Linked DNA regions of Alligator mississippiensis. The protein of the gene in region 4 binds, or shares a complex with, the protein of the main gene of each other region. Links are inferred from orthologs where the notes say so. Each region holds a gene or a part of one and is shown on either strand. Other genes may lie near its edges. The genes, in order: EIF4G1, EIF4EBP2, CYFIP1 and EIF4E.

The links.
Region 1: the proteins of EIF4E (region 4) and EIF4G1 are in contact, whole or in part, in a crystal structure (PDB 5T46), measured with the Homo sapiens proteins. The link is inferred for Alligator mississippiensis from reciprocal best matches to the Homo sapiens genes EIF4E and EIF4G1. Residues at the interface, in NP_001959.1 of Homo sapiens: Pro31, Tyr34, Lys36, His37, Pro38, Leu39, Gln40, Phe47, Lys49, Arg61, Leu62, Ile63, Ser64, Val69, Glu70, Trp73, Ala74, Leu75, Tyr76, Asn77, His78, Ile79, Gln80, Leu85, Tyr91, Glu132, Leu135, Ile138, Gly139, Glu140; in NP_937884.2 of Homo sapiens: Glu608, Lys609, Lys610, Arg611, Tyr612, Arg614, Phe616, Leu617, Leu618, Phe620, Gln621, Phe622, Ile623, Phe624, Ala625, Ser626, Met627, Gln628, Lys629, Pro630, Leu633, Pro634, Ile636, Asp638, Val639, Val640, Leu641.
Region 2: the proteins of EIF4E (region 4) and EIF4EBP2 are in contact, whole or in part, in a crystal structure (PDB 3AM7), measured with the Homo sapiens proteins. The link is inferred for Alligator mississippiensis from reciprocal best matches to the Homo sapiens genes EIF4E and EIF4EBP2. Residues at the interface, in NP_001959.1 of Homo sapiens: His37, Pro38, Leu39, Gln40, Val69, Trp73, Tyr76, Asn77, Leu131, Glu132, Leu135, Ile138, Gly139, Glu140, Ser141, Asp143, Asp144, Ser146, Asp147, Arg186; in NP_004087.1 of Homo sapiens: Pro47, Thr50, Arg51, Ile52, Ile53, Tyr54, Arg56, Phe58, Leu59, Leu60, Arg62, Arg63, Asn64.
Region 3: EIF4E (region 4) and CYFIP1 share a complex: the UniProt entries of both Homo sapiens proteins name them as parts of the CYFIP1-EIF4E-FMR1 complex. The link is inferred for Alligator mississippiensis from reciprocal best matches to the Homo sapiens genes EIF4E and CYFIP1.

Annotation. Positions count from the first base shown.
Region 1 is NC_081830.1:83,637,384-83,644,899, reverse strand, and holds the start of EIF4G1 (eukaryotic translation initiation factor 4 gamma 1), read left to right. Parts: upstream 1-4,511; 5' UTR 4,512-4,617; intron 4,618-6,359; 5' UTR 6,360-6,420; intron 6,421-7,516. Other genes in the region: PSMD2 (26S proteasome non-ATPase regulatory subunit 2), read left to right, coding at 415-516, 622-767, 1,100-1,183, 1,467-1,635, 2,052-2,146, 2,242-2,368, 2,548-2,666, 2,863-3,045.
Region 2 is NC_081829.1:58,774,676-58,782,196, forward strand, and holds the start of EIF4EBP2 (eukaryotic translation initiation factor 4E-binding protein 2), read right to left. Parts: upstream 3,011-7,521; 5' UTR 2,799-3,010; coding exon 2,660-2,798; intron 1-2,659.
Region 3 is NC_081824.1:338,765,779-338,773,377, reverse strand, and holds the start of CYFIP1 (cytoplasmic FMR1-interacting protein 1), read right to left. Parts: upstream 3,015-7,599; 5' UTR 2,893-3,014; intron 1-2,892. UniProt on the Homo sapiens protein: Component of the CYFIP1-EIF4E-FMR1 complex which binds to the mRNA cap and mediates translational repression. In the CYFIP1-EIF4E-FMR1 complex this subunit is an adapter between EIF4E and FMR1.
Region 4 is NC_081825.1:160,612,208-160,619,098, forward strand, and holds the start of EIF4E (eukaryotic translation initiation factor 4E), read right to left. Parts: upstream 3,012-6,891; 5' UTR 2,936-3,011; coding exon 2,918-2,935; intron 1-2,917. UniProt on the Homo sapiens protein: Acts in the cytoplasm to initiate and regulate protein synthesis and is required in the nucleus for export of a subset of mRNAs from the nucleus to the cytoplasm which promotes processes such as RNA capping, processing and splicing.

The DNA.
Region 1 (7,516 bases), on a different chromosome or scaffold from region 4:
CTGGTGTGGCTGCTCTGCAGGTCCTCCCAACATGCTGGGGTTTACAGAGCAGGAGCTTTTAAGTTACACATGCCATACCTGTTGGTTTGTGGCCTGAATGATGGTTTTGCTCTGCTATACCCCATAATCCCCTGCGGTTGCAAAGGCCCGTGTGATTGGGGTTATGAGGGGGCAGCACTGGGGGAGCTGAGCAGATGTTAAGGGGAGTAGTACCCAGGCAGGTGACAAGGATAGGACAAGGTTGGGGGTGTGGGGTGCTCTGGCTTGCTACAGGCTGCCTAAGGTTAGAGAGGTCCCTCAAGGCGAGCTCAGGTGCCCTTCTGAGGGCCTCCAGCTAGGCACCAGCTCCTGGCACCTGCAGAGTCTGTACCCTTGGGCCTGGCTGCTCTCACAGGCCTTGCTGCTGCCCCGCAGGGAAGGGGGAGGCAATCGAGGCTATCCTGGCGGCGCTGGAGGTGGTGTCGGAGCCCTTCCGTAGCTTTGCCAACACCCTGGTGGACATCTGTGCGTATGCTGGTGAGTCCCAGCCCTGCCCAGCAGTGGTGGAGGTTGAGAGGGGGTCGGCTCCAGGACCCTGCCCCTCCTCATAAGGCCAATCCCATGGGCCTCTCTTACCTACAGGCTCAGGCAATGTGCTGAAGGTGCAGCAGCTGCTCCACATCTGCAGTGAGCACTTTGACTCTAAGGAGAAGGAGGAGGAGAAGGACAAGAAAGACAAGAAGGAGAAGGAGAAGAAAGAAGGCTCAGCTGACATGGGGGCCCACCAGGTGAGGCGGGGCATGCAGGGCTTTTGGCCTTTGTCTGCCCAGGGAAAGGCTTCCAGCAGAATCTGCCTGCTTTGTCCACAGGCAAGGGGGGCATGGCTGGTGTCTATTCTGTTCCCTTGAGCTGGGCAGCCCCAAGGGGCAGCTTAAGCCAGCTGTTGGCATGAAGACCTGGCTTGGCCTGGCCTGGGAGGGCTCTGGAGAGAGCCTTCACCCTGGGATGGGGAGAGGGGCAGAGCTGTTGGCCTACTGGGCCTGGTCAGGCTGGGTGGTTTAGGACCTGGTCCGTGCATGCCTTGGCCAGTGCTCAGCCCGCATGTCCGCCCCCTCTACAGGGTGTGGCTGTGCTGGGCATCGCGCTCATTGCCATGGGGGAAGAGATTGGCGCCGAGATGGCTCTGCGCACCTTCGGCCACCTGGTGAGTGATGGCACTGATGTGGGAAGGGGAGGAGGCTTCACTGCAGAGGGAGGGATGGACCTCACAGGGAGCTCTAGGTGTGGGGCAGGAGAAGACAGGGAGTGCCACCCCTCAGCCTGGCACTGCCTGCTCGTGTTTCCTGGGTGCCCACTGCCTGCTCACATCCCCTCCCAGCACTGCAGAGAACTCTGCTAGTCTTGTGACAGGGACTCCCTGGCATGTGTGAGGGATTCAGGGCCCAGCTTGCCACCAGGCTCTAACGTCTCCATCCCTCCCGACATAGCTGCGGTATGGGGAGCCTACGCTGCGCCGCGCTGTGCCCCTGGCCCTGGCTCTGATCTCCGTCTCCAACCCACGCCTCAACATCCTTGACACCCTCAGCAAGTTCTCACATGATGCTGACCCTGAAGTCTCCTACAACTCCATCTTTGCCATGGGCATGGTGGGCAGTGGTAAGGCCCCTGGCACTGTGCAGGAGGGAACTGGGGGGATGGGGGGGGTGGTTACTGTAGTCTCAGCAGCTGGATGCTGGAGTAGCAGGGCTCTCTTTCAACCTTCCTTTGCCTATCTGTTCCTGATTAGCAGAGCCCCAGTGCCAGCTGGGTCACACTGGGCAGATGCTGCCATCTCATCTCACTGCTGGGGGTGGGTCCTGCCCAGGGTGGAGTGGCAGCTGAGCCTGTCCATGTGTGCATGCAGCTGTACTGCCCTGGGGCCCCTCACTTCTGGATACACAGCCCAGAGTCCTGGTAGACCTCATTCCGGATCACTCGTTGGAGAAGTGGTAGGGATGTGTCTGGCATCTGGTACCCAGGCTGGGGCTTGCAGCCTGTTCCTAGCTTCCTGCTCACCCCTGGTTCCTGTGCAGGCACCAACAATGCCCGGCTGGCAGCGATGCTGAGACAGCTGGCCCAGTACCATGCCAAGGACCCCAACAACCTCTTCATGGTGCGGCTGGCTCAGGTAAGTGCCTGGAGTTGGGTGTCTTGGGGCTCAGAGCCCTGCCCAGGGTGCTGGCCTGGGGCCCCGTCCTAATGCACCTTCCTTTTGCTGAGCAGGGGCTGACTCACCTTGGGAAGGGGACCCTCACCCTGTGTCCATACCACAGTGACCGGCAGCTTATGAGCCAGGTGGCTGTGGCGGGGCTGCTGACTGTGCTTGTATCCTTCCTGGATGTGCGCAACAGTGAGTATGGTGGTCCTTGCCCACAGGGCACTTTTGGGTCTGAGGGAGGGTACCCAGCAGAAGGTTGTGCGTGGCTCAGCCCCTTGCTCTTTACCCTTGATGAGCTGGGTTGTGCTGCTCAGGTGGGTGGGTGGCTTTGGCTGTGTCCTGCAGGCTGTAATGCCCCTGTCTCCCTCCAGTCATCTTGGGCAAGTCACACTATGTCCTGTATGGGCTGGTGGCCGCCATGCAGCCACGAATGCTGGTGACGTTCGATGAGGAATTGCGGCCTCTGCCTGTGTCGGTCAGGGTGGGGCAGGTAAGAAGGCAGTGGGGGAGCTGCTGGGTTCTGAGACTGGAGAGGTGATGGCTTGAGGCTGAGGGCTCCAGGTTGGTGCCATGGGGCTACCTGCAGCCCTAGCAGCACCTGTCTTGGCCTGGGAGACTTGAGCTCGGTTGTGGGTATCTGTGGCTGCCTCCATGTCCTCGATGCTGACCCTCACCCCCTTCTACAGGCTGTGGATGTCGTGGGGCAGGCAGGCAAGCCAAAGACCATCACAGGCTTCCAGACGCACACAACGCCAGTGCTGCTGGCACATGGGGAACGGGCTGAGCTGGCCACAGAGGAGCACATGCCTGTGACGCCCATCCTGGAGGGCTTCGTCATCCTGCGCAAGAACCCCAACTATGATGTCTGAGCCTGGGGCTGGGGTGGGGCAGGGGCTGGAGGGGGGTGGGGAGGGGGAGGGGCAGGGGCATGTGCTCAGCTCCTCGCTGCTGTTTGTTACTGAGGAGCTGGTAGGCAAATAAATCTATGGGAGACATAGGCTGCCAGCTGGTTCCTCCAGGTGGGGTGAGGCAGACCTGGGTGCCTGGGTCCTGGCAGCTGGGGTCGGGTGGCCTGTGCTGGCTGTGGCAGGGGGCTGGCAGGCTCTAGCTGGAACTAGAACCTGGGAGGTAGCTCCGTGCCCAGTGGCTCCCCTGCCTCCTAGCAAGACGCTCGGACTGGAGGCCTGGGGAGACAGCAGCATTTGATGCCAAGTGTGGGGCCTGGCTTGAATTGAATTCCCAGGGCATCTGTCTAGCTCTGGTGCCATCGGGCACCTGTGAGGGAAAGGTGCTGGCTCAGGGCTCCTCCTGGTGCCCCATGCAGGATGTCTCTTTGCACCCTGAATGCCCCTTCCCCCTGCGCAGCAGCTGCCTGCCAGGGGCGGTTTACCCCGATGTGGTGATGACTGACCATTCCTGTCCCAAGCCCCATGTGGCGGCTATTGAGCCTACTCTGCTTTGCCAGGCTCCTCACTTGAGCACAGTAACTAGGCTGAAGGGGACAAGAGGCTGCTGGGCTGATCCTAAACCCTCCTTGCAGGGGGGCTGGGGCTGCTGCCAGGGCTTGGGGGGGGGGGGGGGGGTCGCTGGTACCTGGCTGAAGGTGGGGGCTACAAAGTTGAGCTGAGGGTGAGGCCTAGGGCCAGCCTCGCTCTCTAGTTGCTGCCCCCAGCCCCAGGGCAGTGGGGGCTGCAGCCCTCCCGTGCGCCCTAGGGGTTGCTGCCTTGCTGGCAGATGCTTCCTGCGTGTCCACATCCCTTAGTGCCGCCGGCACCTCATCGGCCCCGGCCGCGCTGATGACTTTAAGCCTTCGCTGCAGGGCTCGTTCCTCGCTCCCAAATGCAGCCAGCTCTGGGGTGGGAAGCGGCCGCTCGTGCCCCTCCCTCTCCCTACCCTTCTTTCTCTATCTCCGTCCACTGCCCTGCAGGGAGCAGGACCCAGCTCCTTGCTGCAGTGGGACCACCGCCGGGTGCTGTTGCGGCTGCCCCCGGCCCTGCGAGGAGCTGCAGGCCCGGTCCGCTGCCCGTCGGGGGCTGGAGGGAGAGGGGCCGACCAGCCCTAGTGCAATGGACGCCAGCCCAGATGCCTCCGGGGCAGAAGACTGAGGGACAGGCCTGCCCTGGGCGCATCCCGCTGGCTCAGGCGGGGGCGGGAGTCGCGCACGTGCCACTCACGTGGGCGCGGGCCGGAAGCGGGGCGCATGACGCGATGACGCCACGTCCCGGAAGGGGCGGGATTTCGGGGCGGGTGTGGGGTTGTCACGTGACGAGGGCCGGTTTCCCCCCAGCGCGGCTTCGGCGGCGCCACCCCGTCCCCCGCCACGTGGCCCGGCCGCGCCGCCCGCCCCGCCCCGCCGCCGCCGCCCGCCGAGCGGTCCGGAAATGGTCGTGCTGCGCTGCGTTGCGGCTGCGTCGGGCCGCGCGGACTGAGCCGGACGGAAGGTACCGGGGCCGCCCCCCTCCCCCACCCCCGCGCCGCACCGGCCCCCCTCTCCTCTACTCCCTGCCGGCCCGGCCGCCCCCACCCCCCCTCGCCACGTGCGGCCCGGCCCGGCCCGCGCCCCCCCTCCCCCCGCGGGGCCCATTGTCCGCGCCCCGCCCCACCCCTCCGCCCCCCCCACGTGCGCGGCCCGGCCCGGCCCGGCCCCACGTGCGCCGCCGCCCGCCCGCCCGCGCCCCATGGCGGCGCCGGCAGTGACACGTGTCCTTGGAGGCCGCGGCCGCCTCGGCCTCGTGCGCGCGGTTCGTCCCCCCCCGCCAAGGGTTAACCCCCCCGGGCGGGTACGAGCCGGCGGCCGGGCCGGGAAGCCCGAGGCCTACAGCCGGGCCCAGCTCCCTCGTGGCGCCGCGGCCTAGTGAGAGCGGAGGCCGGGCCTGTCCCGTGCCCCCTCCCCCGCTTCCCCGGCGCCTCCCCGGCTGTCCCGGGCTGGGGGCTTCCTGGCTGCCCGAGTGGGATGCCTCGGCCCCGGCTCCAAGTCGTGCTCCCTCCTCCCCTGCGCAGACCCGCGGGAGCGGGGGCGCTCGCACCGGGGTCCGTGGCGGGTGGGATTCACCCGCGGGCGGGGGGCTCTGGGCATCCACGGGCCCTTTCGGGGGTGGCGGGGGCAGGCGGCACGTGGCCGCGGTGGGGTGGGTGCGGGGTCGAGCTGCGGCGCTGAGGAAGGGTCGTTCCCCGCGCGGTGCCGGGCCGGGGGCGCTGTGCCCGCCGGCCCCGGGCGTGGGGCGAGGCGGTGGGGCGCAGGGAGCTGGCGCTCTGTGTTTGTTCAGCGGGTGGGCCCGTCTGACGGCGTCCCGTCTTGGCCCAAGGGCAAGGGCCTGGCGGGGGCCGAGAAGGCGGCACTGGCTGCTGGACGCAGCTTGGCAGGCCCCTAGCAGCGCAGGTCGGGGAGGGGCTGGTGCCCAGGGACCCATCTGTGGCTGCCTCGTCTCGCCCGCCGTGGCACGGGCCTGGTGGGGTGTGCCCAGGTGCCGGGCGCTGCGTGGGGACCCCAGTAGACGGGCTCGGGAAGGCGACTGGGGTCCTGCCCCGGGGAGCAGGTGCTCTCCTGGATCGTTTTAGCCCAGGTGCTGCCCTGGCACAGGCTCCCCGTCCTGCCAGCCCAGTGCTTGGTGCAGACCAGTGTGAGCAGGGGCTCCCAGGGGGTGCCCCCTTTTCCACCCCAGGGGCGTTTGCTGCCTTTTCCGCAAGGGGAAATCTATCGTCAGCCCCTCTGCCCTGCTCCAGCTCCCCCAGGGGCCGTGGTGTTCGGGGGCAGCCCCGCGGGGGTCTGTCCGTGCTAGGGGCAGTGTCTAGGCCAGGTGGGGGAGGTCCGGCCTTGCTGCTCGGGAGCAGGGAGCACCAGGCCCGAGGCTGCTCCTCTCCGGCGGGAGTGACTCATGCGTGGAGTTTCGCCGACAGGTCGGGGCAGCGCGGGGAGGCCACATGGCTCGGGCGGGGGTGGGGTTTCGGGCGCTCCCGGCTGCTCCGTCTGCTTGTGTGTGTCTCCGTCTCGGTGCCTCTGCACTGCAGCAGACTGCGATCCGATCCGACACCGCGCTCCTGCCGCCAGGGGGGCGGGGGGCTCTGCCCGGCTGTGCCCATGTTAGGTGCGCGGGGCCCTCCCCGGCGCGGCCCGGCCGGCGGCTTTGCAGCCTCATGGTGTTTCTCTCCTCTTTCTCTCCCATCCTCGCTCTGTCTTTCGAAGCCAGTCGGATGCACGGTCTCTGCAGGCCCGCTCAGCTGGCCCGAGTCTTTCCCGTGGGGGGGTGAGTATGGCCTCGCCCCGCGGCATGGGGGGGGGCTGCGGTGGGTCGGGGATCTGCGTGCCTGGTGGGGGAGGGGACACAGCTGTCTGGGTGCCGGCAGGGGGCTCGGGAGCGGTGTTACAGAGGCAGGATCTCTGCTGGGCTCCAAAGTCCCTTCTTCCAGCAGCAGGCTTGTGCAACCAGCAGCGAATGCACCCCCCACCCCCTGCGTCCGCCTGCCTGGGCGAGGGCTGGGGCCTGGGCACGCACGCTGGGCGCCCCGCCAGCCTGTGGGCATGCACACCAGGCGCCCTGCCAGGGAGCCCTGCCCCAGGCACGTGGGGGAGGGGCTGGGGAGTTGGGGCAGGGGTGAGGTTAATCCCACCTGTGACTTGGCCCCAAGGTTTAGGCTGGGGACAGGGTCATGCCTGTGTGTCTCTGCAGGGGGGCAGCATTGGGCACCTCAGGGGCAGGAGCCAGCTTTTCCCCCCCCGCCTTCCTGCTCCCAGGTGCTGTGATGGGGTGTAAACACCTGGCTGGGTGGCATGCTGTCCTTGGCCAGGGGCTCTTTTCAGTGACCCTGTGGGCTGCTTGGCTGGCTCTCACAGCTTGGGCATCTTCGTGCCGTCCTCTGCCGCGTTCCTCCCGGCTGCAAGGAATTCAGGGGCTCAATCTGAGGCTTGTGGGGTGGGGGGGCAATGTTGGATGCGTGGGCTGGTGTGGTTGTACAGCCCCCCCCACTGTGCCCTTTGCCTGCCCCAGGCAGGTGGCACCAACCCAGCATTTCCCAGAGCCCCTGGCCCGCAGCAGGTGCCAGGCTCTAATGCTGGGGGGGTTTCGGGGCAGGGAGCTTCCCTGCCCACATCCCCTACGCTGTTGTGGGGTAGGAGTTGAGCCTATCCCTCCTGCTGATGTTGCCCACTGGGTCCCCTCCAGGCTCCCTGGGGTGTGTAGGGCTGGGCTGGGGGTGCTTGGCCAGGGCCTGGCTGCCTCCACTGGGAATGCTGAGGCCAGAGCATCGGGTTACAGGCAGCCCCTGTTTGTTTGGGTGCCTGGGCAGCCAGGCCTACTCTGCGTGTGGAGGGGCCCGAAGGCTTTCTGGCCCTGGCCTTAGCAG
Region 2 (7,521 bases), on a different chromosome or scaffold from region 4:
GAAAGTGGGATTGGACTGTCCTGGCCTGAACACTTGGAAAGAAGCATCTTGCTTTTGTCTGCGTGCAGTACATTAGCTCAGGCTAGCTCTGTAAGTCTTTCATTTCCTCTGTGGTACATTTATCCATTAATTTGAAACAATAAAAGTCACAAATGGGTACCTATCACTGCTTTACGGGCACATGCTTCCTTTTCATAACCTTTCTACTCAACCACTGCTTTTAAACATGGCCATAAGAAGTATTAGGAATGGGTGGGAGGTGGTGGGGAAAAAAAGATGATAATACCTTCCAGTGTAGGTGGCAAGAAAAAGAAACAACCCCCCCCCCATATTAGACTTGTGTCCAATGTTCTAGGATCTAAACCTGTAAAGCATTAATGAAATATTTACATTTCTATTACTACTTCTTTTACAGGTTTCCAACTCCATATCAGCAACTCCCAGTCAGTAAACCACCCTCTAAACTGCTAGAGCTACTACAGCCCAGAGGCATTATAACATGGGTTTGTCAGAGAGGAGCAGGGGGAGCGGGAGGGGGTCACTCTTAATACTTTTCTATTCTGTAAGGTTATAAGATCTGAAACACTTTAGGTTTGAAGAGGGTTGTTTCTGAGGTCCAGCCCTTTGTTTCTCCCTCATTCTACCTACATTTCATGCATTTCTCCTCAGCCCTGACTTTATTTTCATCATTCTTGTTCCTATCATTTCTACACGTCTCTCCCCTGAACTTCTTTAGTTAACACACCTTTTCCTTGTTGAAGGATTCAGTTGCACATATTAACTGCTACCATTTCCCCAGCATGACCCTCACAGGCTGAACTTTGCTTCCACTTCAACCCCATCAAGATACAAGCCTGAAAAAAGCCAAATCAACAATTCCAGACTCATGTACTCTGTTGGGTAAAAGCTGCATGTCAGAGTAGCAAAAGAAAGTTGCAAATGATAATTCTGCAAAGATTGGCAATGGGGGGCAGGGGAAACACTCTCATCACCTCTCTGCATGTTAAGTTCCACAGGTTCAAACAGCCCCTTACTGTTTGTTAAAAGTTTACAGCAATCTGTTCAAACCACCAATGATAAGCTGCCACCTACCACCACATAAAAACCATAACAAACTCAACATCTCACTTAATAGCATTCCCTGGAGTTAAAAGAATAGATACTACAGAAAAAGTAAAAAGTGTCCTACATGAGAAAAAGGGGACATGATGGAGAACAGACAGTATTATACACAGCCTGTAAAATTCATGCACACCACTCAATCTGTAGCTGCATAACATTCTCAAAGAAGGAACACTTGCACTTCTTTTAGACCTCTATTAATATGCAAGCATAGCTGACCAAATGAAGAGGCAACAGTAAGATGAGCTGTTAATAACTTATACACTCGCAGAAAGATACCTACCAAAACCCACTACAGTAAAAACCCAGTTAGGCACAAGAGGAACACTGGTATGAGATTAAAATGATGGGGAATGCCTGTAATTAACGCAACTACAGTTTATCATATCCAAACTATGGTCATTCAACAATTCTGATCTACCTCATTGACAACAATGAAAACAGAACAATATCCAGTTTCAGTGGCATAGAAAACAAGCACAAGTCTCAGGAGACTTGGGGAAAATTACATACAAAAGCTGCAGGTTTATGACCTGGAATATTTTTATTTTGGTCCTGATTAATCTCAAGGAAGATTAAGATCTTCTAGGAACCTTTGCCTACTTTCTTGCCCTGTAGCTTTACCAAGGATCTAGGCCACAAACTAGGGTGCTATTTTTAAAGTGACATTGAAAAGTACTGTAAAATGCCTACTTAGTTATTTAATAGCAAAAACGTCTTTGCTGCCCAAAGCATGTATGCAAATGCCATCCTGGGGACCCCCAAAGAAACGCAGCTAATATTTAGCTCAGGAATCCCATGTACACGTCAGCCTCTATTAAAGTCACATAACATGGCATGGATTTTACCAGGAAAGGAACTACTGTATTTTGTGATTTGGCCTCATCTTTGGTGGTAGGGACCGGCCAAGCTTTCAAATACAAATATGATCTCTGGTACACCTACATCTTAGCTCTTATGGACCCCTTCTGCCAATAAAAGCAGAGAGAAAACCTGTGCCTGACAATAAAGCTAGAGGGGCCTAGTTTGCCAAGAACCGCCTAAGGGGAGGCCGCTGGGCTGCACGGTAAACAACTGGGCTGCACAATCTACATCCGTGTTAGGCTGCAAAGTTAGTACTTCCTTGCACCCAGCCCTCCACGCTCCTCTGCACGTCTCCGGCGGGAAGGGCCGAGGGCAGCCTCCTCCGACCCCAGAGCAGGCCCCAGGGCCGCCCGCATTCCCGGCCCGTTCGCGTTTCTCTCCCTACTGCAGCTGCTGGGAGACCCCCCTGCTCCCCCCGGCCTGTTGGGCAACAGTCCCGGCTCGTCGCAGCCTCCGCGGCCTTGTTTACAAATATCTGCCTGCCCGTCCCGCACCAGAGCGGGGCAGGAGGGCTGGGCCCCGGCCTCTCCAACAGGGCAACACCCAACGTGCCCGCGGCGGCCGGGCCTCCCCAGCTGCGGGGGAAGGCGCGGGGCCCCGGGCCGGGCCGGGAGCCCGCGGCACTTCCCCGCCGCGCCCTGCCCTGCTCGCGCTCGGGGCCGGCACGCGTTACCTCCGGGCGTGGTGGAGAAGAGCGTGCCCCCGGGCGTGGTGCAGTAGTCGTGAGGTAGCTGCGCGGAGTCGCTGATGGGCACCGTCCGCGTGGGGATGGCGCGGCTCTGGCTGTGCTGGTGGGCGCCGGAGGAAGACATCGCCCTGCTCTATTGTCCCGGCTGCCGGGGGGAGGCGGGCGGGGCGGGGCGGGGCGGCGCGGGGACGTGGAGGAGGTGGTGCGGGCGGCGGTGCCGGCCTCGCTGCGGGACCAGGGGGTGGTAGCAGCCTCCGCTCCAGGCCGCTGGCTCGCGCTCCCCCACCTCCTCCGCCACCTTCTCCCGCGGCCTCGGTTAGCAGCAGGAAGCGCGGGGCGGGGCGGGGCGGGGCACGGCACGGCACGGCACTCACTGGGTGGTCCGGCCCGGCCCGCTCCTCCCCACGGGCCCCTGCCTCTGCCTCCTGGAAGCCCCCTCCTCTTATCCCCGCCGACACACAGGAGCAAACGAGGGGCGCGTCGGCCCGCCACGTGGCTCGGCCGCGTTGTGCTCGCTCGGGTTGTGTCATGCGGCCGCCACCCGTCCCGGGTCTGCCGCCAGGCCGGGCTCTTCCATGCCCCGAAGCCCCGCCACATCGCCCGCATTGTTGCCCTGGGGCTGTTAATTGCAGCGCTGCGTGGGGGCAGCTGGGGCAGGTTTATCATCAGTAGCACACACACATAAGGCTGGTTGGGCCACTAAAGCGCCTCGGGACAAGTTACTGGCAAAAAAAAAACCCACCAAACCCTGAACAGGCAGCACTGGTTGGTCGTTGTGAGCCAGTATTAATTTGCAACATCCAGAAGGCAGACGAGGTTGCTGCAGGGGACAGGAAAGACGACTTGCATTACCTGAGAGAGAAGGATCTTTTATTAGACCAACTGCACAGTAGGTAGACAAGTTTTTGAATTTGTGACATTCTTCATTTGTCAAAGGGCATATTGCGTTCAACAGGCTGCCTAATTTTACTACACAGTTGTCCAGTAAGATATTCATCACCCTAAAAAAATCCTTGCCTCAGTGAGCCTCTGCTCCAGCATCTCTCTTACACTTTCCCTATCTGGCCACTCACTGAAATGCAGCCGTGGGAGGCCAGTGCGCATGGTGCTGCAGCCGCGGTGGCTTTGGCTGACCGTGGTGTGGGCAGCCCCCACTGGCCTGATCTCTACCCACTCGGGAGTTAGAGCCCCCTGCTTTAGACCACTAACCAGTATCAGAGTCCAACATCTTAAGGCGAGAGAGGGCCGCAGTAACCATGTAATACTATTGTAGTTGTTTACAGTGATGCAGTTCACTTTGTTTTTCCCATAGTAACAGGCTAGAAATATTTTTTTAATGTATAGTTTTAATTGTGGAAGAGAACAGAGTTGGTAAAAGAAAAACAATGTCAAAATATGCACCAATCATAATTTGATTTGAGGATGTGATCCTGGGTGTGCAAACATCCTGAAAAGGGACAACTAAGTGTGGTACAAATTGCCTATATTAACCTGTGTTTATTCTGACCCCGCTAACGATCAGCCCACAATCACCATTTTCTAATATTTTGCTGCTGCTCAAAGCACACAAGAAAGGAGACGGGTAGCTGTGGAAAGAAGATAAGACTCTTGAGTTAAACCATGTTTTGGCATCATGAATAGACACGTATTAGCTTATAGGTGCAACAAGGGAATGCTGACATCTGTTCCTTTTCCAATCTAATTATTGATTGTAATAAGTAAAGAATGAGTGGCAAAAAATTTGTTATAAGCACAATACCAGTAACATTTTATTGCAAGAGTTGTTTTGACTTTCAGATTACCAGCTCAACACATCCATCATTGACCTTTAAATACTATATTATAAGAGAAAATTCATACTTAATTTAAAAGATATGTTGAATTTAGTACTGGTGAAAAGTAGCAGTCATTTTGACTTCAGGAGGGGTGCAACCTCCAAGGAGAACTCAACCCAGAAACAGTGACTCCACACCCAAGAAAGCAGAGGGCCCACAGAGCAGCAGAAAATCAACTAAATATGGGCTCTTTAGAAATAGAGTTGGGACTGGGAGCATATGCCATACTGTGGGGTTATGTGGCAGGTTTGCAGATGTGGAGGTTGAGGTCCTCTTCTCCATCTACAGGACAGGTACAACATAAGCATTGGCAGAGCAGTCATCTTCCACATAGCCTTGCTATTCCATTTTAGCCCTGATACAGGGGCTTTCTTCTTTCTTAGGGGATGATTGTCTACAATAGGAAATTTTACCAGTGATTTCCCACCCATTTACATCTGCTGTTAGTAGATCCAATGCAGACAGTTCCAGAGGCTTCTAGGCTCCTACCACTGGGTTTTGCAGTTTAATTGACACAGCAGTAGAGACTCTGGAAACTGTTGGGGCTCTCTCCTATGTGGTCCAACTCAGTGTTAAAGCTGACCTGGCACCAAACTGCTAGCAATCGTTTCTAAAGTTCTTGAGCCAGATTCTGGCCTCCCTGAAACAGGACGGCTTGGAGGCAGCTGCAGTGCCCCCTGGTGGTTGAACTAATCCCATCCCCCCCTCCACCCCGATTCCGGCCACATTTTTAGCCTCAAAATACAACATACAAATTACCTGTCTCCTGGAGTCCTTGAGTGAGCTGCTGGGATTTTGTTCTCATATTAGCTCTGTTTAACAGGACACCCCAGTCCTCCTCATGCCAACAGTTTACTGATCAGCACTGCTTATGCTATTGGCACCTGTGTCTCCATGATGCTGGTCATGACTCAACTGGGCCCAATTGCACCTTAAAGGCTCTCTAATCATGGCCTCCAGACACATTACTCCAGATTCATTCATTGTGCCCTCTAGCCTTATTTAGGCTCAGCTTAGCCTGGCAGGCACCTGTACCTAACAAGGCTCTCATTTCCCTGTGTCCATGGCCCTACTTTGACTGAAGCCTGGCAAGAGAGGCTGAAGCACCACTACCTAGCCTTAGCCCTCCTAGCCTTGGCTTAACTTGGCCAACCCTCTAGGCCCCTGAACCCAGGCTAGCCTAGTATTCCTCTATACCAGCCTTCAGCCCTCCAGGTCTCTGACCCCAGACCAAGCTGCTTTTACAACATGTCTTTCCAGGTGCAACCCAAACCTCTGGTTAACTTTAACCACAAAACACAACCATAAACTCACCAACCTCTAACATAATCTGCTCTACTTCAGGTCTCTGCACATTACAAACACCTCTCCACCCCAGCTTTCTATGTTCCCTGAAAGCACAAACTCCTTTTCTTAAGAGAGGACCTAACTCCTGCTCTGGCTCAGGGTTGAACATGCATCTCCCTGGGCTCCACCCAGTTTTGGTCACATGCCACTCCCTTAGCCCAGGTGACTCCATTTAGCTCAATAAACTGCCTCATTTTCTCTGCTGCAGTTTACACAGCTGACCTTCCTAGTCTAATGTTGCTGGCTTAAATTCAGCTGTCCCTACCAGAATGCAGCTCTAGCTTGCTGTTCTTCCCTCTTAAAGTAACAGGGGCCTTGGATCCCTCTTAAACTCCCCCATGCCCTTTACTTACAACAGTGCAAGTTAGCTGGAGGCCTAGTGGATCCAGCTACTCAGAGATTCTTCAGCATAAGAGAATCCCTGAGCAGTAAAGGACTGGCCACAAAAGCCATGCCGGAGAAAGGAGCACAGTCAGAGTGCTTCTGTGTTCCAATGGGTGCCAGCTGCTGGGGTGGCTTCCCTGAAGGCCATTGCAGCCCATGAAACTGACAGTAAGTCAGAGAGTGCTTTTAAATGATGCTCTGGGCTATTTCAGTTTCCAGCAGCCCCTGGGTTAAGGCAACACAAAGGTAGCTTAAAACTCTGGTACAAAGGATGATCTGGGACTGAGTACAGACAAAGTCTTATTCTATACAGACAAATAAGAAAGTCATTTTCTATGCTTAGTTTTTAGCTTTGTTGAGGCTACAAGCTAACTGTAAGAAAGTTTTTTGTGACATGGATACTAATCCACTTGGGAGTGAGGACAACCCATTTCTCACTGAAGAACCAGGAGATGGTTACTATCTTTTAATTCCTCCTGTCTTGGGTGAGATTTTGACAAGCACCACAGACATGAAAGCATCAGTCCCCTACAAGCTTCACATACGATATTTTCTACAGTAAAAGTTTACTTCTCAAGAATGTGGGCCTTACTCTATGTCACATAAAACTGATATACATGCCAAAACCTAAAATGTTCCTTTAGAAATTGGAGAACAGCTAAAGTCTTGCTATACAAATGAGATAGCCTTCAGAGTCTTCTAGGGCAAAAAAATGACTTTCAGAGCTACAATGTGATAACAACTGTAACTGCTTGGCCTAGGCAAACTCATAACTCAATAGCAACAGATCTGAAGACAGAGCAAAACAAATTAACCCCAGGAGACCAGCAGCTAACAACATGAACAGCGGCAGAAGTAATAGTGGCAGCTGCAAGAGCTGCTGCTGCTGTTGGATGCATGGGGATTATACATTTCAAGAAGCTGCTGAAAACATGTACCCAAAGCAAAAATTTTAATGGATGCCTGGGTTTTATTTGTTGGTCCTACTTACCAAATAATACTTTCTTTCTATTGTGAAATGTTGTTATTTTTATCTAATTTTTCTAATGGAATAACAGTCAATTCCATTTTTTATTTTTAATATAGGAGAAGTTAATGAGTGGAAGTTTCAACACTAACTAAACTTTAAGTCTATAGAGCAGTTGTTCAATATGGCATTTCCATAAACCAAAATCTTCCAATGAATGCTGAGTTTAAGTAACATAGGACTGAATTCATGATGCTAGATTAGAAACCTGTGGGCACATAGAGTCTGAATTTAAAGGAAGAGTCCCACAGGAA
Region 3 (7,599 bases), on a different chromosome or scaffold from region 4:
CTAATGAACTAAATTAGCATGCAGATAACTTTAAAAAAAATCTCTCTGGTTGCATCTTTTCCTTTGCTCTCACTTTACTTCTTGTTAGCTCAGTGGCTGGCCCTGGTGGAACCCAATACCGGAGGGGGCACACATACCATTCAGCTGTATGTACAACATAGACACATACCGCCACTCCACTTCTAAGCATAGTTTACAGCATCCAGACATCTTTAAAATACTGAGCTTCCTGAAGAGAGAAACTCGTCTACTATACTTTCTACTTACGTACAGATATGTATACTTATATACTTATGTACAGATACCTGGAAAAGCAGTGATAAGATCCAAATAGTACATACAAAAACTTATGAATGATTTCTGCAGTGGTTGTAATGATTCTATAACGTATGTTAGAGAAAACACTTTTTAATAAGTCAAGGTAAAAATTACTACTAAAATCAACTACATTTTTGACAGCTGTAAACAGCTGTAAACTCTGGAGTTACAAGTAAAACCAGTCCTACAACCTGAATAAACCCAAGAGTTATATCCAGGATATGCACCGTGAAATATGGTAATCTTGTTATAAGTCAAGGTTTGAAGCTCAATTTTTTGATGGTCTTAGTTATTTCAATACATTTCTCAATATCTAGTACCCTAAATTTAAAAAATTGCAATGTATTTTGTATTTTCAGACAACAGAGGAATTCATGAAGTCCCATTCCTTTACAGGAATTTCATTAGCCCTTTGTTCTTTAAATAAGTAAGCCTGAGAAAGTCTCCACTTTATACCAAGTCTTTGATCTTTAAGTCTGCAGCACGCAAAACATAAGATTTCTCTCATTTGACAGGAAAAAAGGAAAAAAAGTTAGCCTGTCTCCCCTTCCCCGCCATTCTAAAATTTGATTTTAAGTTGTTCCCACTTTCTGTCACTTACAGGAACAGTCTATTTAAAACAGCTGAACTGCATAAGCAAATGACATGAAGCAACACTTGAAAAAAAACACAAAAAAACAACAAAGCCATGTAGAAGAGGCCAGCCGAAACATTATATGTAGATCCCAACACAGTTTTTGAAAAGGGATGAAACTGGGGCTAATCATGCAGGTTCACAAAACAATATAAATCACAGCTATTCAATCTAAGTACAACAGATTGTGAATATGAAAATACTGACCAGAAAGCAGGAAGCTTCAGCAGGGTATATTATTCTACCTTCCAGTTTCAAAAGTACACAAACTCACAATGATGCAGGCATCAACATTCACTAGACCTCATTTCAATTCTAGAAAGTTGCAGCACGTGCAGTGCAATACCTGTGATGGTGACGAGACCCTCCAGTCAGCAACTACAAGTCTTATGATTCTAGAGGAATTTCAAAGCTTCTAACAATGTATTTTTTTACATCCCTGTTAAGGAACTTCCCTTCTGGACAACCAATCCAGTCACCACTCAAAACCAGCTTGCGGGATGTCACAAATACTGATCTGCTTGCAGTGTGTGATTTGCTCTTCAAACCCACTACAAAGCTTACAAACCAAAACAGCTGGGGAATTGTATTAGAAAACATCAGCTGTGTAAATTTAAGCCTTCTGTTTGCAGTTGGGAAGGGCCTTCTAAACAGCCAGATATCCATTTGCCTTCAGAAAGTCCTGCCAAGGCAGTAGGATGAAACACCACCAGGTCACCAGGATGTCTACTGGAAGCTGATATCTTCCTTTCTATCCTGCCCTGCTCCTCACAGACAATACTAGTGGAGCTGGAAAGGAACCAGTTTCCTTCAAACTGTTGTTCCAAGGGTGCTTTCTTTTGCCACAGCCACGGGCCTCCCCTTTGCAACAGCAAGTCCAACCCAAGCCTCACAGTTGGGGGGGGGGGGGGAACGGGTGTCAATTCTCCTCCGCATTTGAGAGGCACTGACAACCTGGAACAGGCAACTTAGAGAAACAGTGGGATCTTCATCCTTAGAAACTGTCCAAGAGCAGATGGGCCAGCCCTTGGCTGGCATGGTTTAATCAGGACAATCCTGCCTGGAGCACAAGGCTGGACTAGATCAGTGTTTCTCCAACTGTGGGTCACAACCCTGGCTTTTTCCTTGTAGTCTGGCAGAGTTCCAGCCTGCAAGGGGCTGCTTGGGGGCCCCTGTGCTCCACACACACCTAACCCCACCCCACACACTGTGGGTGGTGGGCAGTGGGTCAGAAGTGAGAGGCACTGGACCAGGACAAGCCATCAATGTTTGCAAATGGGTCCTGGTCCAAAAAAGAGTAAGAAGCACTGGAGTAGAGGACCCCTGCATATGGGTGACTGATGCCTCCTGAGTCTGGGGGGGGTAGGGGGGGGCCAGCAGGGCACAGCCAGCCATACAATGACCCAGCAGCCAGTCACCAAACATGCTAGCGGAGCCAATTTGGGGAGGGGGGGGGCACTAGCACTCTCCATGCCCCCCTACCAGCCAGAGCGCTGTCAGGGGGGCACCAGCGCTCTCAGGCCTCCACCCCCACATATCCCCTATGCCTCTGGAGATCCCTCGCCTCTGGAAGTCTCTTCCAGCCTTACTTCCCTATGTGCCCCTTGCCAGGCAGGGCATGCGCTCCCTTTGCCCCTGTACCATATGTGGGGCTCAGAAACGCAGGAGACCTTGCCTCCAAGCAGCCAAACGCAGGCGCTGAGGGCCGCCTAGGCCAAGCCCCTGCCAGTCAGGAGGTGCCCAGGCTTTAGCCTGCCCAGGTCCGGCACCTCCCTCCCCTCAGCCGGAACCCCCGCGGCTTCTTGCGCGCAGGGGAAGCCCCGGGCCCGAAGCCCGCGGGCAGCACGTCACAAGGGGGCTGGAGGAGAGGCAGGAGCCCCCGGCCGCCCCCCGGCCCGCGGGAGCAGCGAGGGGCAGGCGAGGCGCTGCCCGGTGCTCACCCGTCCGCGGCAGCGCGGGGTGCAGCCGCCGCCCTGGGGATCGCCGCCGCTGCGCTGGGCCGGGAGTTTCCTGCCTGAGTCACTGGAGCTGGGAGCTGCGCAGGGAAACACCCTTCCTGCGGCTCCGGCCCCGCCTCCCTTCCCCGGCAGGAGCTGGGGGGTGGCCCCGGCAGCGCGGGCCCGGCCCCCTCGGCTCCAGCTTCCTACGCTCAAACCGGCCCCCAGCCGGCCCTGCTGTCTCCAAGCGTGCCGCAGGGGGCGGCGGCTGCGGCTGAGCACGGGCCAGGCCGGGCGGGCTGACCCACCGGGGGTCTAGGGGCTGCACGTGGGGAGGGGCATGGCCACGCCTGCCGCAACACCCACCTTGCAGCAAGGGAGGGCTAGGTCCCAGTAGGGTGGCCATCATAGGGCACAGTCCGGTTGTCCTTTATTGATACAAAACCGGACGCCTTTATGTCCTCTATTTTTCTCATCAAGACCTCTGGATATGGGCGGCTTGTGCCTCTTGAGTCTAGGGGACACCAGCGGGGTGTGACCGGGGGTAGGGTCCCCCAGCGGCCACCGGGGCAGGGGGGGACCCAGCCTCCAGTCACCAAGTGCACTGGCACAACCAGTTTCAGGGGGAGCACTAGCGCTCTCTGTGCACTCTCCATTGCTCCAAAAGAAAAATAGAGGACATAAAGGCATCCAGTTTCATATCAATAGAGGACAGAGTAGCAGAAAACCAGAACATCCTCAGTGGTGGCCACCCTAGGTTCAAGATAAGGAAAAACCTCCCTCCAGAGGAGGGTAGAAAAGCACTGAAACAGGTGACCCAAAGAGGTGGTGGACTCTCCAGACTTGGAGGCTTTTAAGACCTTAGTAGACAAAGCCTTGGTTGAGATGATCTAGTTGGGGACAGCCCTGCTTTGAGCAGAAGGTCGGACTAGATCTGCATTTCTCAACCTGTGGGTTGTGACCCAAAAGTGGGCTGCAAGAAAATACTAAAGGGTCATGAACAAACTTTAAAAAGGGATCAACAAACTAAAAAATTGTTCTTCTTTTTAGGGGAAAAATGTGGGAAACCATGGTTTTTCCCTTGCAGGCTGGCAGAGCTCCAGCCAGCCGTCCCTACACACTGGGGACGGGGGGGCGGGGAGCAGCAGGTCAGGAGTGAGGGCCACTGTGTCGGGACTGGCCACTAATGTTTACAAATGAGTCCTGGTACAAAAAAGGTTGAGAACCACTGGACTAGAGGACCTCTTGAGGTCCCTTCCCACCCTCATTTTCTATGTTTCTGTGTTTCTCCAGCTGTACTCAGAGGCTGGGGCAGGTCAAGGGGGCAGCCAGGGGGTATTTACCACCGGTCCTGTTTTTCCCCTACACAAGATGCTTAATGTGCAGGAGACTCATTCTACTGCACATTAGCACAGCAGACACAACCTGTACCACTGCACAGTAGATTTAATCTAATGCTCATTAATGTCACTAAAGAACCAGTCATCTCTGCTACTGTGCATTAGCACTGAATATGGCACATTAAGTTGGTATCTGTCATCACAGATACTAAACTTAATGCACTGTAATTATGGTGCATTCATGAATTTGTAAATGCTCCCAGTTAAAAAGAAACTAGAAGCTTCACTGTTCGGCCAGGGCAGGTCCAGGGGGTAGCTAGATGAATGAGCTATGAAGCCAATTGATTCCCTGCCTAGAAATGCTGCTGCTACTAACAGGCAACTAACTGGTTTAAAACTTTGAGTGGAGTAGGAATCAAAGTAGGATCCACCCCAACTATGTCTATCACAACAACCATGTTTTTCCAGTTAGATACAAACTAGAAGCTCAACTGACAAGCTGGGACACATCCAGGGAGAAGATAGAGTGATCTGGCTGGGATGATCTAGTTGGGGATGGTGCTGCTTTGACCTTCTGAGGTCCCTTCCAACCCTCATTTTCTATGATTCTAGGGGTGTCTACTACTAACACCTCCTTTTCCCCAATTAAAAGAAGCTAGAAGACTTGCTAATCGGCTGGGTGCCTGGAGCTGTGTTGTGCAGTTTCAGATGGAAGCAAAAACAAAGATAAGTTCCTTGGAAAGAGTTAAAAACAGTCTGCAGGGCTGTGAAATAAGAGCTTCCTAACCAGCTAACAGACAGCAGAGTTGCTGAAGAAAGGCTAACGTGCTTGGTGGAACAGGCAGACCCTTGAAAAGAAGAGAGGCAGGTTAACACCTGTGGAATACAGAATTTGGAAGGGGTCAGGTAGATGGATAATGAGGCATGAAGTCAAGTGACTCTGACAGCGCTGCCTAACTAGAAATGCTGCTGCCACTGCCAGGCAGTTGGTTTTAAACTTTGGGTGGAGCAGAAATCAAAGGGGTATGCAAGTGTGTCAGTGCAACCCCCTACATGCCCCTGCCCCAGATTTCTATGTGACATCTCTGGGTTTGTGATTCATGAGTAAGTGCTTGCACAGCAAACAGTGCTAATATTAAGCAGCACCCCTCAGCACCCTTAATTTAGGAGTCACGAGATCATCTTAACAATCAGCAGCTTTCAGCTCTGGGATAAAATCTGGGGAGGTAGGGACAGCCATTCCTCCTGGTGGTGCATGTTTTTGTATCAAATTGTATACCTAAAAATGGTACCAGGTGTCCTATTCCCCACCACCCCTTGACACTAAGTTTGCCTAAATCTTCACAGCACTCATGGCAGCAGGTCCCAGTGCTGCAGACTTGCATACCTTTTCAGCTGTACACATATTGAGTGTTTCCCGTTTAATCGGGCTGTGCAGGTGCACAAAGTTAAGCACAAAGGTAATGCTCCATCCTGCAGAAACTGAAGTCAGACCCTCAGGACAGTGCAGGGAGCAAGCCAATGTTGGTAGATCCACTTCTTTACCTGTAGTGTAAGCCTCCGTGTGAATTTTTCTGACACTTTGAAGCAAGTAGTTTCTCACTCCACCACATAGGGTTTTTCACATTTATGTTAACAGACTTGATGCTTATATTTACATGTATAACACTCACTTTGCATTTTCATTCTTCCAGAAAACTTCTTATTTTGTAAAAAGATGAGTCAACTTGCCCAGAATGTGTGGAGTGTTCAGGAGTCAGCCCAATGTGCTGCAGTGATCCCATTTATTTCTACAGGCCTCTTTCTACATGTAAAATTGAGCACATGGTCAGCACCTTCAGGCACAGAACAGGAGTGCCTTTCTCACTTCATGGAATTGAGGAGAGGGGTCATGTTGATGAGGAACAGAGATCTCAACTGTTCGGCCATGGGATAAGAACTGTACCTTCTTCGCAGCATGGAAAGTGTGTAGTACACCAGGGGCAGAAATAAAGCTAAATTGTTTCAGAAATCACACACACACACACACACACACAAATGTATATATCTATTCTGTCTGAAATAATAATACAATATTACATACTGGCCCTCAAAATGCTTAGCCCGGGAATTACCAATACTTTCCTCATTCAACATTCCCATTCTTTCCTTGCCCAAGTTAATTTTCTCTCTCCATACTCTAATACACAAATAATACAGTAAGACATTTCCATTGATGCACTTATTTCTGTTTCCAAGGACTTGTTCTCAGTAGAGAAATGGGAAGTACTAATGGCTGTGTTGTCAAAGAGACTTATGTATTTCAATTAATCATAGGCTTAAGGGCTTTGCTCACTTAGTGTATGAAGCAGAATCTCCAATCCCATCTTATTTTTCTAACATGTATAAAAGTTAATACCACGTGCTCTTGCTATTTCCAGCAGATTACAATTCATAACTGAACTGAAGTGGTTACTTTTTACTACACTGGAAAAGATAAATTGTAGCTTGGCAAAGGGAAGCAAGAGGGCTAGAAAGGGAATCCTTTTCAGGTATAAAGTTCCAAAAAATGGAAAAAAGTAGAGAAGGAAAAATACAGATAACTGATCAGAGACTCAAGTCTGACATACTCATTCAGGGAGCTCAAAATAGTGGCAATAATTAAAACAAAAGGAAGTAATTTTGAAAAAACAGATTAGTATATTAAACACACCATAAAACTAACTTAATGAAACTTAGGTAGCAAACTGTCTTGATTGGGGTGAATAAAATGTGGGTTAGCTCTGTAGCCATTACTGCCACAATGATCTTCAATTACATAATTTCAAATTTATTTTCTAGAACACCTATTTGGTTATTTTGTCTCAGACTTAAAATGACTCTTTGGGATCCAGAGCTGACTTACACTGTAGTGTAGAAATATATTTGTTATGATCTAATAAAGGAGCTCTCTCTATTATCTTTAATCTTATCTTGGATGTATGATCTGGATAAGCGCTGCTCATTTTCTGAATTTTAAAATATTGAATGTGGAACCAAATGGGGCACAACAGGCATCTCTGTGCAGTAGCCTCTCTCTCAGTGTCCATTTTCCTTTGTTTTCTCCTTTGTTGATCACACTTCCTCCAATTTCTCGAGCCCTCTGTCACTTGGCACCTCCATTTCTCCTGCCTTCCATTTTTGTTTGGAGTCCCCTAAGATTATATCTTATTCCTTTCATCTCCATCACATTTTATACCCGAGTGACTTCATTTACTTGTCTTCAATGACCATCTTTCTGCTGCTCTCTTTTTTCCATTCTGACTTCTTCCCGTGTTGTCTTGAAGTTGTCATTTAAACTGAGCATAATACAGAACTCCTCTCTTCGTTACCTCCTTGATCTCCACTGCCA
Region 4 (6,891 bases):
AGGGGGTCGGACTTGATGATCTATTGAGGTCCCTTCTGACCCTAACATCTATGAATCTATGAAAAGAGATGAAGGCAAATTCCAGCCTTGCAGTGGCAGCTAAGATATACGTCTATATCTATATGTAATTTTTCACTATATTTTTCCATGAACAAAAAAGAAAGAGGCTGTAGATATACCTGGAATTTTAGCAGCTATTTTGGCAAAATACCTAGCACCTTGAATGTTATACCTCAACTTAACTGCTGACCTTTTGAATTAACTTATTACAAGAAGAGTCATTTCAGTCATGAAAGTATCATGGGCCTTGATACTATATATACTTGGTATCTAATTTTATACATGCCTATTCAAAACTAGAAAGAGCTAAACAGACCTCAGCAGTTTCAGCCAAGAGTTCAGTTCAGAAAGTGCAATTAGTTCACTATACCAAAGCAACTGGCATGTACATCAAACAAAAAGTTAAAGAATAATGAGCAGAATGAAACCTATTTACGATTTGGGAGATGGAAGGTCCAAGCTGATTTATATAAAATGTTCATGGTATTCACCTAAAATATTTATTGCATTAGGACAAAAGCCTTTTTTGCCCTTACAATTATTTTCTGGAAGCTATTGTTGAACTCTAAAAAAATAACCAAAACGTGTGAACTTTTCTAATAGAATGTAATAGTCCTTTTCTTATCAGACAAAAGTTCATTCTAAGCTGCAAAACTACTACATTTTAAAAATGCAAGATAACAATATTTGGAAAAATGCAAGATAACAATATTTGGAAATACTGTGTAATTCAGTCGGTGCATGTGTGGAGCCAGGCCCTTTGAACCATCTTTCTATAGATACATGATTAGGTGGCTTAATGGACAACAAAAACCCATGTTAAAAATATTTGAGACTCTGTGAAATATGATTTTACATTGTACCTCATAGGTTTTCAAGACTGGAGAACTGCCTTTAAAAGTATTTTCAAGAAAAAGAAACCAACATTGCTTTAGCATCTAGTTCACCTCTCTTCTGGAGGCCTTATCCCCCTACAGGGCAGTGCACTCTTGTCCCACCCACCATCCATATCCTCCTTACAGAAGTTCTCTTTCTCCAACTCCAGAGAAGTGTGGTGACACATGGCAGCTTCATAAAATGCTTCCATTATAACAGAGGAGAAAACATCAGAACTGCAGAAAAAGGAAGGATTCTATGTACCCAGATTCAAATTCTAAAAGTTTCAATAGCAGACATTCCCCCTCTACCTGCTCAAAAGACCCTTCCCACTTTAATCTGAACCACAGCGAAATACATTTCAATTATGTCTATTATGGCAACACTGTCTGGTCTGGACACTTTATAAACACACGCACAGCTGAGATGTCAGGTGGGCCTAGGAAGTTGGGGAAAAAAGCACGTCAGGAATGAAAGAAGGGAGATTAGAGAGGCAGACCCTTTAACTCAGATAGAAAAAGGTAACCGAGAGCGGTGGATAGTTATTTGGTTCTTTAAATTAAATATGCTTGGTCTCAGTTCAGTCTCCAGTGGCTGTCCAGTCATCATTACAAGCAGTGATGTTGACAGTCACTGCAAAGAACTGAACGAACATAACCTTAGAGGGATGGTGACTCCCAAATTAAACACAGAAGACAGTGACTAGGCTACATGGAGAAAGCCACCTGCACTGTCTGTTGCTCCAGTTTTCCCGGTAAGTGAATTACCTTGTTTTTGAGAGCTGGTAGGCAAACACTGTTTGTATGCACTAAATTTTAACTGTCATCTTTTATCTTCCATTTTAACGATATTTTTGTTCTTAGAGGAATCTGTTGCCTGGAAAAAGGGACACAGGCATACACACAGGTGGACCCCCCCCCAATTATTTCACAGGAGTACAACACAAGATCTTTTCAGTGAAGTCTTAAAATGCTTTTCATCTGCAAAGTCGCTGCCCTTTACTTTTTGTTAAATAAGACAACAAACTGATGACAACCCTTTTAAAAGATTGATTTTATTTGACTTGTAAAAAGCAGTCCATGCCTAACGGCAGGCTCCAGTGTGCATACCCAGCCAGTAAAACAGTGACTCCATGCACCTCTCCCAGGCTCCCCTGCCCAGCCCTGTTCGGCCCAATCCCCCAGCTGCAGCAATGGTATAACTAAGATTCCACTGCATGGCGCACAGACAGCAGCAGCGGCTCCTGGCAGGGAGGGCTGAGAGAATATTTAAATTGGGATTTTGAGATAGAAAAAAGAGCTCAAAGGATAAAAAAGGGGATGGGGGGTTAAACCTTTCCAGACCACGGGGCAGCGCTGCCCGACTTCGCTCCCGCAGGACAAGGTCAGCGCGGCCCCTGCGCTCCTGCTAAGAGGCGGGATCCTGCCTGGCGCTCTCCAGCCCGCACCTCCGCCACGTGCGGCCCGGCGCCAGCGCAGACGGAGCGCACACGGCCTCCCCGGCCCAGCGCGCCAATGCGGCGCAGACTAGAGCAGACGAGGGGGGAGGGGGCGGGCGCCCCCGGCCCCTTCCGGCCCCCCCGTGGGCGGAGACCACCCCCACCCCCCCAGGCGCCGGAAGCACCGCGCCGGCCAGGCCGGGGAAGCGCCCGCGTGGGGCCGCCCCGGCTTCCCCGTGGCCGGGCGGGGCGGCAGGAACCGCCGGGGCCTCCGCTCCCCCCTCCCCACCGGCTCACGCGCCCCCCCCCCTCCCCTCCCCTCCCGCCGGCCCAGCGGTGACGGCACAAGTCCCGCGCGCCGCGCCGACCTCACGCGCTCGGAATCCCCCCGCCCCCCCTCCGCCGCCCCCGCTGGCGCCTCCCGTCCCGCTCCCCTCCCCCACGCCCGGCCCGGCCCGGCCCGACCCCGGGACCTCCCCGCGGCGTGGCCGGGCCCGCGGCAGCGAGGGACCGGGCCCGGCCGGGAGGGAATGAAACACTCACCGGTTCCACCGTCGCCATCTTAGATCGCTGCGCTCGCACCAGCGGCGCGGGGCGGGGCCGGGGGGGGGGGGGGGCGGATGGCAAACCAGGTTCAAACGCAATTGGCCGAAGCGGGGGGTCACGTGAAGCGCGCGGCCGTTTGGGGGCCCGCGGCGCCTACGCGCGGAGGAGGGGGAAGGGGCGCGCGGGGCCTTCTGGGACGTGTAGTCGCCGCCGGGGAAGGGGTGGCCCCTTCACCCACTCCCCCTGCCTGGCGCTGGCGGGACCGAGACAGTCACATGGGCCCGGCGCTCCAGGCGGAGCCTGAGGGGACGCGCCCCCTAGCGGCCGGTCGGGGAGCTGCAGGGGCGCGGGCGGAGCCGCCCCCAGCTGCCCGGCGCCCACTGCCCGGGGGGCGGGGCCGTGCGCGCCTGCTCTCACAATGCGGGACTGGCCCCGCGGGCACGGGTTGCCAGGGGCACCGTAGTCATCGTGTTTGTAGGGTAATTTCAACCCTTGCGATCAATAATGGTAAAAGTGCTCAAAATTTACAAATGCAGAACTCTAGCACATTTACAATATTTTTTGAGGAAGCGAATCGATGCAGCATCTGCAAAACCCAAGTCATTCTCAGGGAGTCTTAACTGACTTTTGGGTTTGGGGTTTTTTGGTTTGTTTATTTATTTATTTTGTATTCCAGTCAAATTAGCCAAATAGTTCTGAATCCTCTTGATTGAGCAAACCTCAATCGCATGTGGTGTTACAACCAGCAAGTATCGTCCACACCCCAGACTTTTCAGCCTGGGGCTTCAGAGACTCCCAGATCTGCTGGTGGGCATCCTGCCTGCAGGCCCCAGCCCCACTGGAGGCTGGCCACTGGGAAGCTAGTTATAAGACCCTTATAGGGTGTCCTGTCCGCAGCGCATTGGACAGGGGTGCAGCCTCCACTACAAAATGTCACTTAACTCCACCTTGGGTTGGGCAGCACACCAACACAGTGACTATAGCTGATCTTAGCCCACATACCAGCATTTTCTTATGACTGCTTGTCTCAGAAAATTAAAAAAAAGCTTTAACTTGGATGAGCCAATTCTCACTCACTGGCAACTCAAAGTGAGTATTATAAAGTAAATAAGAAGAAAACTTGTTTGCATATGTATTTGCATATTTTTTCCATGTATGATAGTTTTTCAGCAAATACATTAATTTTGAGCTTCCAGTATAATAATTTCATAGTTAAGATCTGGCAACGCTGGTACGGCCAGCTGGGCTGGGCTGCCCGTGTGAGATGTGGTGCTGTGGTAGCCTGGCTGCTTGGGGAGATCATAGACCTCCCACAGAAGCTGGGCTGGAAGGGGCCTCCTCAGCTCACTCTGCCCAGCCCCCTACCTGAAGCAGGAGTGTCCCAGTCTGAACTGCCCCACACAAGCTGCAGCCTTGACCACTGTTGACCCTGACACAGCACAAAACACTCAGAACCTACCACAGGTAAAGCAGGGCAACCGCACAGCCAATGTCCTGCCTCCATATCAGGTGGTTAATACACATTCATGGGACCCTGGGTAGCAGGGCATGGCCCCATACAGAGGAAGGCAAACCCTGCCCCCTGATCCCCGTGGGTACCAATCTGGCCAGGGGGTGAAATTTGTTCCTGACCCCAAATACACTGATTGCTCTGAGTATGAGCAGCGGAGCAAGAGCCTCTAGACAGGAACCTCCAGCTTTGGTCTCAACAGAAGCAGTGACACACCCCAAAGTCCCCAGCCTTGGCTGTTGCCAACACCCAATGCCTCTAACGGAAGCATAAAAACACCCTGATACATGTAGCAGAAACAGGGGCTGGGGCAACCAGCAAAGTCCAGAAGCATGGGAAATACCCAGAGTAGAGCATAAGCATAGCTACGCCTAGATCATCCCTGACCAGTGGCTGTCCAACCTCTTGAACACTTCCAGTGATAAGAAGTCCAGACTTCCCTAGGCAGTCTGTTCCACTGCCGCACTGTTCTAACAGTGAAGACATTTTTCTTGATATCCAGTTTAAACCTACTCTGCTGCGACGTCAAGCCGTTAGTCCATGTCCTACTCTCTGCAGCTGGTCCAGGAGATGCCAAGGCATTTTTTGGTGATATTTTTGCTTGGATCGACTGTATGGTTGGGAGGGATGATATCAGGCAAGCTTCTGGGCAATGAAGAGGGGCATGTGGTATCCAGAAGCTCATCAAGCATCTCTCCCAACTATGCAATTGATCTAAGGAAAGATGGCACCAAAAAACCCTTGCTCTGCCTGTCTGTAGCAGGGTGTAAAATTCAACCTGAGCCTCAGGTCAGATCCAGACCCTGAGGGGTCCTTCCAGGCCAGATCTGCAGGGCCAGCAGTAGCTGCAGTAGGTCCAGTGGTGACGGCAGACGTCCAAGGGCAGTGATACAGGTTGGGTAGTGGTGGAGCAAGTGAGGGCTGTATCTGCATAGCTCTGACTTGCCTCCTTTATCATTGACAGCCATGTCCATTAGTGCCCAGCATAGGCAACTGGTGCCTCCCGAGTCTGGGGGTGCACCAGATCTCCGACTGGGGGGGTGGCCATTTGCCAAGCCCAGAACCACTAGCAGCGAAACTGGAAGCACGCTTCCACCGGCACTTCCAGTTTTGCAGCTGCTGCTTCCAGGGGGTGCATGGCCAATCTCAGGGGATGCATGTGCACCTGCGTGCACCCCCTACGCATTGCCAATAGTGCTCAGTGACTCCTAATTCTGCAGCAGGCTATGCACCACTATTCCCTCCCCCAGCTTCCAGGAGCCCATTGGACTAACAGTGCACTGCATGAAACATATGGCCAGTTATGTTTGACACCCCTTGTCTACAGCATTTCTAAGCGGCTCACCACTATAGCATCTTAACACCAAGCAATGGGATAAATCTCCATTTGCTGCCTTACAGTTTCTCTCCTCTCCTGGATGAGGGAAGATTTGGCTGCCAGTGCCTTAGAGAGATTTGATTTAAAAAATCTCACAGTCTTCCTGCCATTGTGGCCTGTGACACAGCTGCTCTCTCCCATTCTGAAACTCAAGGCTTACAAGTGTCTGTGTAAAAAGTGGTTGAGATAAATTCACCTCCCTCCATATCTCAAAGATGTCTGCATTTTGTGGACCATCCCTCAAGCAGCCCCATGGAGATTCTGGCATTGCTTCTTGGCAGCTGAACTCCTCCCAAAGGGGCATATTTGGGACAGCAGCAACAGGCAGCAGTTTCGTTTTTCTGAGTTCTACTGCTATGAAGCCAGGAAAAGCCCACAAGGAGTGTGGAAAGCAGTCTCAATCCTGGGTTCCCCCTGTACTGACAAGAAGCAAGCTCCTATGGCTGGGAGCCCCAGGCACCTCAGTTTAGGGGCTCCCAGCTCCGGGTGCACCCCACACACCCCTGGAGCTGGAGGATTGCTGCTGCGGTGATCTCCCCACTCCAGGGGTGCAGGAAACCTCCAAGGTCAGAGGTTCACTGCAGGGTAATCCCCCTGCCTGGGGGTATAGGTAACCCCCAGGATCACCAGGATCCTTTGGCCCCTGGTGGTTTCCCATACCCCCAAACCCTAGGGCCCAGGGTGTGGGAAATTCCCAGAAATCTCCAGACCCTGGGGATTGTGGCTGCTGTGATTCCTAGGGCTCAGAGGTTTTATACTGGGCATGGTGTATCCCTGCAGTTGGGAACCCCACCATCTGATGGGGCTCCCAGCTACAGGGAGGTCCTACTGCACCTGCAAATTAAAGCTCAATAGCAACCAGCTATAAAGTTAGTACACACTTTTGAGTTCTAATTTGATTGCTGGTTGGAGCTTTTTATTGTGTGATAGCTACTTCGCACGCGTAGCTGGTTTCCAGGAAACTACACAATTAACCATTTGAGGGGATCTTACACTTAACCTAAATAAAGGGTGGCTGCTACATTCACCAATTTTGACAAAGTTTAACCAGATTTATCACAAAACTATTCCCTAGAAAAAGTT